3 linked regions of the Arabidopsis thaliana genome follow. The protein of the gene in region 3 purifies or fractionates together with the protein of the main gene of each other region. This does not show direct contact. Each region holds a gene or a part of one and is shown on either strand. Other genes may lie near its edges. The genes, in order: ABCG34, VHA-A and PIP2A.

Region 1 (3,758 bases), on a different chromosome or scaffold from region 3:
AACTTTCCTAATCGAAGTCAGTGCAGCCTTTAAACTCAGAAGTTCAACGTGCGATATTTGCAAGCCTGACACCTCAAACTTATTCACACTGAGAATGCATGGTCGACCATCTGAGGTCATGTTTTGTCATTGTTCGGCTAACGAAAGCACTATCAAACAAACAACAATTTGTAAAGAGAACCAGAACTAACCAAAAATATCAAACGTAATGCTGTTAAAAGACAAAACAAAAAAATTCGATTGCATTTGGTGTCCAATTAAGATGAAACTTGAGAGTACCTTCCCGATGAATTTAGCTCTATCTATGCATCGTAGTTTATACTGTTAAAATGAAATTGTGGTAGTTTCATGTATTTGTTAAAGTGGAAATAACCCTATTAAAAATGCCCAACAATATTACATGTCGTCATGCGCAAAGACTTTAATCTTTTTTTTTCAACTGAATTTTCTAAATTTCCCTTAAAAAATATTTTAGTTTTCCCCCCCATTTTATTATGATATTTATGACACAAGCAATTACATCACTACGAATAGACACGAGAGACACGTTCAATCCGTAATATTAGTATATTACTTTGTTTAAATTAGACACACTACCTACAATATCAACAAAATTAAACTAATCAAATCATCACAGAATTTGTAAAATTGTAACTCAACGAGATAATGCTATAAGAATCCACCGTTTGCGGCAAAATCACTAATTTTTTTTTTTTTTTTTAATTGAAATTGAAAGCATAACTTCGTTGGAAGAAATTATGCGATGGAATTTAATTATTTTTTACAATTCACACACATTCCAAATCCTCAATTTGAATTTTAAAACGACAGAAAACAAAAATTAATAGGCAACAATTTTGATTTAGTACAAAATAATTCCGTTGGAGGAATTTCAGTTGATACTTAAGTAAAAGATCATGCATGTGTTAGATTTTAATGCAATTTTATTAAAAAAGCACCTTGAAAACTTTTAATAGTATGGACGACTTACCATTTACTTACGATTATGAACATAGCAAACAGTTAGACGGATTATGTTGAATGTTGATCGTCTGATCACCATACAATGTAGATTTCTTACACCTAATAACACGACTGTACTATGTAGCAATAAACGTCTGAACAGTAGGTGACAATCCATCAACTCATTTGGACATCCATTATCAAAACTAAATATATGTAAAGCAGACTAAATATTGGACTAACTAATTTTACTAAAATATTCACCTAAACTAATTACACTGAAAGCTAGGAAATACATCTTAATTATATATATATATACGTCTATATTTATTTTGTTTATAAAATAACTATGATATGTTACAAACAATATAATATAAATAAGATATACTAATTCATCAGAAATTCAATGTTATTCTTCATAGTAATTTATTAAAATAAATTCATAAGAAGTTATCTGATACAAATATGTAACACGCACATATATCACATCAATTCAACATTTTATCTTTCCTATATATAGTATTGAATTTTATTTGATATTTTCTATCTAATTGAGATCGATTTAAATATAGAACTAAATTTTTTCAGTATATTTTATCGAAATGATGTAAAATAAATCATATTTACCATTTACGTCTGAACAGTAGGTGGCAATCCATCAACTCATTTAGACATCAATAGTCAAAAACAAATATCTGTAAAACAGACTAAATGTTGGACTAACTAATTTTACTAAAAAAAATTATATGATACAAATAACTAACAAACACATATATCAATTCAACATTTCATTTTTGCTATAGATAGTAATTAATTTTATTTGGGATTTTATAACTAATTGAAATCGATATATATATAGCTAGTAATTCTTTTTAAGTATTTTCTATCGGAAAATAATATAAAATACTATTTAAATCATATTTAACAGTTGTTAGTCTTACTAGACAAAAGAAAACAGACAAAAAAAAAAATTGTATTATAAATAAAAAAAATATTGTCACTCGAAGCCTTTAAACTCGCCTCTTCTCTCTTCTCTCTCACTCCAGAGTTTCTCTCTCCCCTTTAAATGGTCGCCGGAAACTAAATCGTCTCGAACATTCATTAGTAAAACCGGACGACTCAGCGGCGATGTTAGGACGAGATGAAGATCTGGTCCGAACAATGAGCGGGAGAGGAAGTTTAGGCTCCACAAGTCACCGGAGTTTAGCCGGAGCTGCTTCAAAAAGCTTCAGAGATGTGTTTGCTCCCCCAACGGACGACGTGTTTGGTCGGAGCGATAGACGAGAAGAAGATGACGTGGAGCTCCGATGGGCGGCGCTTGAGAGATTACCGACTTACGATCGGTTAAGAAAAGGTATGTTGCCGCAAACGATGGTCAACGGTAAGATTGGACTTGAAGATGTTGACGTCACGAATCTTGCTCCTAAGGAGAAGAAACATCTTATGGAAATGATTCTGAAATTCGTTGAAGAAGATAACGAAAAGTTTCTTCGGCGATTGAGAGAAAGAACTGACAGGTCAGATTTTCAGACAAAACCAAAAACAAGAACAACAACTCTTTTTTTTTATTACAACTTTTGTCTCGTCTGACAAATTTTTTTTTTTTTTTTTGAAACAGAGTGGGAATCGAAGTTCCGAAAATTGAAGTAAGGTATGAGAATCTTTCAGTGGAAGGAGATGTTCGTAGTGCAAGCAGAGCTCTTCCTACTCTCTTCAACGTCACTTTGAATACAATCGAGGTTCAGTTTTTTTTTTTTTTTATTGGATTAACTTTGTCTTGTTCAATGTTGTTGAGAAGATCTAAAAAAGATAAAACCTAACTTTACCGCTTTTTGTGTCTTGGCATAAATTTTTAACCTTTTTGGGATTTAGTCTTGTCGGGTCCAAATTAGATATCTTTAAAATGTCAAACTTTATGTGTGAATGTCAAAATTGCATGTAACTGTTGATCTCTTTAATTTACTTAAGATTCTTGTGGTTCTTTGTAAAACAGAGTATTCTTGGATTATTCCACCTGCTTCCATCTAAGAAGAGGAAGATTGAGATTCTTAAAGATATAAGTGGCATTATCAAACCATCAAGGATGACTTTATTACTTGGTCCACCTAGTTCAGGGAAAACAACTTTGTTACAAGCTTTAGCTGGGAAGCTTGATGACACTCTCCAGGTTTGTTTTGTTGTCTATCATATTTATATTATTTATATGTATGTAAGCTCTTGGTTGAGTTAACATTTTCCGGGGTCTGTGACAGATGTCTGGGAGGATAACTTACTGCGGTCATGAGTTTCGTGAGTTTGTTCCTCAGAAGACTTGTGCTTACATTAGTCAGCATGACCTTCACTTTGGAGAAATGACTGTGCGAGAGTCATTGGACTTTTCGGGACGATGTTTAGGTGTTGGGACTCGGTACCAGCTTTTGACTGAGCTCTCAAGGAGGGAGAGAGAAGCTGGAATTAAGCCTGACCCTGAGATTGATGCATTTATGAAATCCATTGCTATATCTGGCCAAGAAACTAGTTTGGTTACAGACTATGTACTTAAGGTACATCTTTTTTGCATGCTTCTGTCTTATTCTAACAAACAATTTTTGACCTTATCCTTGGTTTAATGCCACTTGACAGTTACTTGGTCTGGACATTTGTGCTGACACACTTGTTGGAGATGTGATGAGACGAGGTATTTCTGGTGGACAGCGGAAACGTCTAACAACAGGTACAACTTATGTTCCCTTTGATATTCCCATGGTTCCTTCAGTGAATATGTGTTCTTAAACTTGTATGTCTCTTGTTTAAAA
Region 2 (3,758 bases), on a different chromosome or scaffold from region 3:
AAGGAAAAGGTGCTGTTGCTTTACCCTCTGTTTTCTTGTAATCTCCCTTATAACAGTTTGTTGAATCGTGTGTATATATATTTCCGCATAAGCTCGCAGATTCGGTTCTCATACCACATTTGCAGACTGTTTTGTATGATGATGCCTTGAGTCCAAAATTAACGTGAAAAGAGAATACAATTATAGATATAGGATCGGCAAGTACATGGTGTGGAGGTTAAACAATATCATTACATTTTTCACAAGGTAGTATGCAACAAATCCAATGTACATAAGGGGAAACTACTCTGAAGACTGAAGCTATGAGCATGTAAGCATGAGAAAAGACGAAAAGTATAAACAAAAGCTAGACATATTATGTATCAGAATGTGCTTCTTGTTCTAAAATCTGGCCATTTCCTCGCTTTAGTACACAGTTTCCAAGAGATTGAGAAGTCTGACAGAGCATGGAGAGACAGAACAAGCATAGTCCTGTTTCAGGGAGAAGAACTAGTCAGAGATCATTGGTTTGCAATATTTGACACAGGCAAGACGAAGGGTTTCCCAAATGGCCAACTTTTGTTAAATGCTAAGAAATCCGACATATTGGTATGTAATGCTACTCATAAGGTAACAGCTCACTCTTCCACATTAAAATGAAACTTTGTATAAGTTTGAGACAAAATGTGAATGCTTTATAATTCCATGAAATGCTACTTATAAGGTAAGAGCACACTCTTCCACATTAGAATGAACTTTGTATAAGTTTGAGACAAAATGTGAATGCTTTAAAATTCAATGAAATACTACACTCTTCCACATTAAAATGAAACTCTGTATAAATTTGAGATGAAATGTGAATGCTTTACCTGCATAAGCAACGGTTACACCTGATATGAGTCGCCCAAGCGCTGATAAGAAGTAAAGGCAAATTACGACCTAAAGGAAAAAGCAAAAAACAAACATATTCAGTATAGAGCACAATTACTGAGTTAACAATTAGCAATGCATTTATATGGTAACTGGGTAAAGACACTAGGGTTCTAAGAGAATCTCTGTGGTGATATATTGATGCTAATGCATTTTGATACACTCATGATCCAAGAATAGTAACGGTATCTTGTACATAGTAAGTTGGTAACAAAGGACACACTTACCTTGACAAAAAGTCTCTTGTCATGTCCAGTTGCTGCAACCCTCAGAACACCCTCTGCTGCTCCAACGGTATTAGCTAAGCGTGCAACGATGTTACTTGCTGTGTCCTGTGATATTTGCCACTCTAGTGGATCCACTGGTACCCTTTAGAAAAGTTATAGGATTGTAAATCATGTGGTATGATAAAGCAAGGGTCTTGAAGAGTTATACACACAATGAGCAGAAGATAATGATATCATTGAACATTCTAGGATTATGACTATGCATTGATCACAGAGAACGGAAGATGATAGTAATCAAATAAGATCGATGCATCATTGATTCACCCAGAAATACAATGAGAACTAGTTTCAGTTCATGCCTTCAGAGAATACATGAAATCAATTTCATAATCAAGTTAACATAACTGATTGCACAACCACATTACAAAGTACAACCCAATTAAACAATTATATCGAGCAAGTATTCAAACTTGTCACAAATCAAAGGAGCCAACAAATTTCGTATCTACTCGGTCACCAAACAGCAAATGACTAAATCAGAGACCAAAGAACAAAATCCAATACCGTAACCAGAGAGATTTAGGCGAAAAATGTGAGGGAACTTACGAGACATTGAGTTGGCGAAAAAGGAGACCGAGAATGGCGAGAGAGCATAAGAGAACAATGAAAACATCGGAGAAGAGAGAGAGAAGAGTCGCGTTACGATATGCACAATGGTAATACACAAGCGTCCCGCTAATCAGCAATCCCATCGCCTTCCCCATTTCTCCCATCTCTCTCCCCACTTCAAAAAAAACTTGCTTTCCCTTTCTTCACTTTCAGAAAATTTCCCCGAGAAAACAAAACTGATCACTTTTGTGAATTTTCCGGCTTGATCAGAGAGAGAGAGAGATTCTCAAGCCGCATGTCTTTGTTGACTAAACGGACCCACTTATTGGGCCGTAAGTATATATTATAAAGCCCAATAAATAAACTGTCACGTGGCTATTAACGACAAAGTCCAGATCTACGCGCGTATCGTGTGTAGTCATGTACCGGATCACTCCACGATTTCGTCAATCAGATCAAAACTTCTCCAACTCTTTCAATATCTATCTACGTGCATCCACCTCTCTCTTCTTCTTCTTGTGACCACTCTTCCTGTCTGTTCACTGGTTAGGAGATCTCTATCCCTCTCTCTCTGATCCTTTTTGTTTCTTTCTGATTTATTGTATCGCTCTCTTTGAAAAACCTTAAGAGTTGTCTGATTTTGGCGATTTCTGATTTGTTGTTGTTGTTGTTTGATCGGATCTCGGCATTTTCTAGGAGGTGAATTTTGATTTTTTTGGCCGATCGGATTTGAGTTTTTGAATCTCTGATTGCTGAGAAAATGCCGGCGTTTTACGGAGGAAAGCTTACGACCTTCGAGGACGATGAGAAGGAGAGCGAGTATGGTTACGTTCGTAAGGTATTATCCTGTTTCGTTCGATCTGGTTTCAATTTGTTTTTTTTTCTGTTTTGCGATGTTAGTTTTTGGTGATGGATAGATGAAATAGTTGATCTGCTTACCAGGTAAGATTGGTGGGATAGCTAGATTTGATCTGATAGTTATCAGTGATTGAATCGGTTGATTCCGCGTTGGTTCAGTAACCTCGTCTTTGAATTTCTGATCTGATCTGATAGTTCTCAGTGATTTGACATTTTCTTTTATGGGATGCAGGTTTCAGGTCCTGTTGTTGTTGCCGATGGTATGGCCGGTGCTGCTATGTATGAGTTAGTGCGTGTTGGTCATGATAATTTGATTGGTGAAATCATCCGTCTTGAAGGAGATTCTGCCACCATCCAAGGTTTGTTTCTTCTATTGTGCTTCCTAGTGTAATTTACTTTACGGCATCTTATGTGACCTCTGTCGAAGTAAGATATCTTAACTGATATTTGGCAACTTCCTTTTGATCAGTTTACGAGGAAACAGCTGGATTGACAGTTAATGATCCCGTTCTTCGAACACACAAGGTTCGCGAGTTATTTATCTTGGTTTTTTCTAGTGTTGTTCATCTGCAGCTAACATATAATTTGTCCTGAATTTACTACAGCCACTTTCTGTGGAGCTCGGGCCAGGAATATTGGGAAATATCTTTGATGGAATTCAGGTTCAGTTGGATTTATAATCTTGCTAGACATGATTTTTTTTACTTTTATGATTCGTTTTATGTGGCTTCTTACGATTCTTTGGTTTCATTTCTTTAAATGTCACAGAGGCCTTTGAAGACTATTGCAAGAATATCCGGTGATGTGTACATTCCTCGGGGTGTGTCTGTTCCAGCTCTTGACAAAGATTGTCTTTGGGAGTTCCAGCCCAATAAATTTGGTAATGTGGTTTACTCCATATGCCTGTCTATGGAAGTGTTCATTTGGTTTTAATCTTGATGGTCAATTGAATTCGTTTTGTTTGCAGTCGAGGGAGACACAATAACTGGTGGTGACTTGTATGCTGTAAGTTTATTGGTCTCCTCTTTAATCTGCTTTTGACAAGGGAATCTATTTACACAGTTACCGTGGTGTTTCCCTTGTTTACACTGGGAATAGTTTTTTCTGAAAGTCAAATTAAACTTTGGAATGCAGACTGTCTTTGAGAACACTTTG
Region 3 (3,758 bases):
GCTATCGCAGCTCCAATGAATGGTCCAACCCAAAATATCCACTGTTTGTAATCACCAAAATTTCAAAACATTATTCCCTTGTAAAAATGAAAAATATAGTTGAATGTAATGGAGAAACGTTGAGGTCTTACGTGGTCATCCCATGGCTTGCTCTTGTTGTAGATTACGGCAGCTCCGAAACTCCTTGCCGGGTTAATTCCGGTTCCGGTAATGGGAATGGTAGCCAAATGTACCATGAACACGGCAAATCCGATTGGAAGTGGCGCCAACACCTTTTATTTCATCAAAATTCAAATTTATTAGTATGATTGAAATCAAATGTTGGTTTGGTTTGCTTTGGTTCCGGTTTTGAGTCGGTTAACCATATTGAAGATTAATAGCACTACATATGTGACTCACCGGAACGTGGGAGTCTCTGGCACTACGTTTGGGGTCAGTGGCAGAGAAGACGGTGTAGACAAGAACGAAAGTACCAATGATCTCTGCGGCTAGACCGGTCCCTGTGCTGTAGCCATCGGCTAGAGAGTTGGCTCCACCTCCGTAACGGGTGTAGTAAGAGCTTTGGAAGGCTTTGACAAAACCAACTCCACAAATCGCACCCAAACACTGAGCGATTATGTACAATAGGGCCCTAGGTAACGACACTTTACGTGCCAAGAATAGCCCAAATGTCACCGCTGGGTTAATGTGACCACCTAAGGAAACAAAAAGAGTTGACAATGTTACCAGTACTTGAGAATTAAGGTACAACAAGCAATTAATTAACCGGTTTCAATTCTGGTTAAGACAGGGTTAGTCAGTTGCTTAAAATAATTACTAGGCTTAGATTAGATATATATCATTCGGATAAGAACCGATTTGATCATGACCCTTATTAAATGTTTTATAAACAAATCATTTTCGTCTTTTAAACCTAAGATTTTAAACCGATTAAATAGTAATGTCAACCAAGCAATATTTTTCCTTGCAAAATAATTAATTTCGAATAAACAAACCAAAACCATACCATATAATTTTTACTTGTCTAAATTTTGAGTTTGCAAGTTGTACTTACATAAGTAAAACTTATTCAGCTTATTCGGTTTAATTGTAATTCTAATACTCAAAAAGTGTATAATCTTAATCTAAACCAAACCAAAATCAAGATTAAAGAAGGATCATACCAGAGATACCGGCGGTGCAGTAGACGAGGATGAAGATCATACCACCAAAGGCCCAAGCGATACCGAGGATTCCAACTCCGCCGCAATCTACGCCACCGGCATCAGTATCGGACTGAATCTTGTAACCGATGACTGTCAAAACGGTGATGTATAAGAAGAGGAGAGTGGCTACGAACTCTGCGATAACTGCTCTGTAGAAAGACCACTTCTTTAGCTCCGCTCCATCAATAAACGGAGCTGGTGGCGGATCTTGATAGTCTCTTGTCTGAAATCCTTCTCCGGGAACGGCTTCCACATCCTTTGCCATAGTTAACTTCTTCTTCTTTCAAACAATAGCTTTTTTTTCTTTTGCTTCTCTGTTGGAGTGGTTAGTGAGAAGAACATGTGCTCTGTTTTATAGTGAGAGCTCTCCTTCTTGTTAATTTGTTTGTATACTTTTTTATTGCTTTATCTTTTAAAAAATATTTTTAGTATTTTTGCCAACGTTATATGTTTTTTTGGTTTTTTGTGTATTGAGGTTTTTTTTTGGAATGAAAGTTTGTATTTTCAATGAAAAAATTGGATATAAAAGTATACGAGTGAGTTATGATTATTATTATTATGAGGGAAGTAGCTTTGACAAAATGATTATGAACTAGCTGTCCTGAAATAAATTTTGAACCAATTCTATTTAATGATTGCTTGATATATCAATATCATACATAGTTACTAATACGTAAAGACAAGAACCCTAGTTTAATTTCAGACTTAGAGTTTTTCAATCGTTGAAATTTGAAAAATTCAAATAAGTTAGCCAGTAAATTTCTTTAAAATTTGATTCGAGTTTATTTTAGATCCTAAATTAGAATAGTTTATTCTATTTAACGTTATAGTTTGCACCAAGTCCATGACAAAAAGATTGATCCAAATCTATTGAACATGCGTCTATAAATACATGATAATGATATGGGATTAGCTAGCTTATGATATCATAAAACAAGACTTTATATCCACTCATATAAACTTGCATAGTTTTATCTCTCGTAGCAATAGGAAGTATCAATCAGTGGTGATGGTGGAGAGCTATCAGAACCACAACTTTGAAATAATTTATTAGTTTTTATGTCAATCAAATTTTTATATGTTTTTCTGGTAAATAATGGAGGTTTTTTTTGTTTACTTTAACTTAGCCTCGCCGCCCCCATCACCTAAATGTCATTTTCTTTAGGACCGACCCAATATACTATATCATCAATATGGTGCTCTCTTCTTTTTGTCGTATAATATCATAGCCTGTCGATTTTTCAGATTTAAAAAGCCACAGTTTTTGTATGCCAAATCATTTTAAAATAACTTACGTCCACTTTTTTTTTTTATCGAATCAGCATTTACATTCTTGAAAACACATAACAAAACTCCAAAACCTTATTTTGCTCCAACGAAGCATGGCTAAGTTTCTTCACTCCAAATCCAACTAATCATGCATGGTTATATTCGAGTGTCTCATTGTATATATAGAGAACATTTTTCTTGTTCACCAAAGTCAAAACACTTTGTTTTCAAAATAGATAGATATATGGTCATTCTCTTACATTATAAACATTTTTGTAGTCTAGAAGGTCTAGTTTTCTATCACCAACATATGTTATTAAGTATGTTTGAGGTGTCATAAAACAAAACCCTACTTGAAGATGTTAGAGCCGGAACTCAAAATTATGACACAATATTAAAGAAGCATAAACTATTTCGTTCACAAACTTTCATTTCAAACTTAATTGACGATAAGTAAATTGATTCGTCGTATATCTTATCACACATAACTCAAATTAGCATTTAAGTTGATATTACTAACATAAAGTAACCAAAGCCTAAACGAACCCTTTTTCATAATTGTTGTGTTGGTATATCACTCTCTAAAACCAGGGTGTAAAGTTATGGTGCCGTTTTGTGGGGTGGGTCGAGATTCCACTGAGGTTAAAATCATATGGTCTGTGTTGGCAAAAGGTGACACGTGAATGGGTGGCGCGCGTGACTAACCGACCCGATCCCTCCGACAAACGTATCGTCACCGTCCAATCCATCTCAGCATATAGCCGTTTGTTCGCTCAACCACTCACATAATGCCACGTTTGTTGTCCCCACCAATCATTTGCATTTTCTCTTCATATCCAAAATTTCATATCTTTTGCGAAAATTGCTGACAATTAGACTGAAAACGAAAATATAACAAAACAATAAATCCCAATAAAAATGACAAATTGTGACAACCAAACAAAAGACAGGAGATGCAGTTCCATGGTTATCGTTTTGCCATGTGGCAAACCTTATCGTTTTGGCTACGTTGGTCGGCTACTATTAGACGAATATTCCACGTCAGCCAACTCTTTTTTCTCATGTTTTTCGAAGTGAATTTTAGATAATAAAAGCACAGAAATGTGAATTTTCTGGTTCTGGTTCTGTTGTTAATTGTTATTAGTATGTTTATTTATATATTTTACACTTTCTTCTATTCATAGAAAACTAGTCTTAACCTTATCTAAATATTCTAGACAAATCGAGTTACATATAGTATGACGTCGTTATGCATAAATTTTGTCCTTTTTAGTCACTCCAATT

What was found.
Region 1: the proteins of PIP2A (region 3) and ABCG34 purify together in Arabidopsis thaliana (affinity purification with mass spectrometry, with the first as the bait; one large-scale study listed by BioGRID). This does not show direct contact.
Region 2: the proteins of PIP2A (region 3) and VHA-A purify together in Arabidopsis thaliana (affinity purification with mass spectrometry, with the first as the bait; one large-scale study listed by BioGRID). This does not show direct contact.

The regions. Positions count from the first base shown.
Region 1 is NC_003071.7:15,255,492-15,259,249, forward strand, and holds the start of ABCG34 (pleiotropic drug resistance 6), read left to right. Parts: upstream 1-1,926; 5' UTR 1,927-2,091; coding exon 2,092-2,480; intron 2,481-2,581; coding exon 2,582-2,702; intron 2,703-2,956; coding exon 2,957-3,130; intron 3,131-3,215; coding exon 3,216-3,506; intron 3,507-3,585; coding exon 3,586-3,676; intron 3,677-3,758. UniProt on the Arabidopsis thaliana protein: May be a general defense protein.
Region 2 is NC_003070.9:29,657,958-29,661,715, forward strand, and holds the start of VHA-A (vacuolar ATP synthase subunit A), read left to right. Parts: upstream 1-2,130; 5' UTR 2,131-2,290; exon of another isoform or gene 2,291-2,441; 5' UTR 2,442-2,505; coding exon 2,506-2,583; intron 2,584-2,835; coding exon 2,836-2,962; intron 2,963-3,072; coding exon 3,073-3,128; intron 3,129-3,208; coding exon 3,209-3,265; intron 3,266-3,371; coding exon 3,372-3,483; intron 3,484-3,570; coding exon 3,571-3,608; intron 3,609-3,737; coding exon 3,738-3,758. Other genes in the region: AT1G78895 (Reticulon family protein), read right to left, coding at 356-471, 849-918, 1,137-1,278, 1,743-1,909. UniProt on the Arabidopsis thaliana protein: Catalytic subunit of the peripheral V1 complex of vacuolar ATPase. V-ATPase vacuolar ATPase is responsible for acidifying a variety of intracellular compartments in eukaryotic cells.
Region 3 is NC_003074.8:19,803,985-19,807,742, forward strand, and holds the start of PIP2A (plasma membrane intrinsic protein 2A), read right to left. Parts: upstream 1,747-3,758; 5' UTR 1,471-1,746; coding exon 1,164-1,470; intron 696-1,163; coding exon 400-695; intron 273-399; coding exon 132-272; intron 42-131; coding exon 1-41. UniProt on the Arabidopsis thaliana protein: Water channel required to facilitate the transport of water across cell membrane. Probably involved in root water uptake. Its function is impaired by Hg(2+).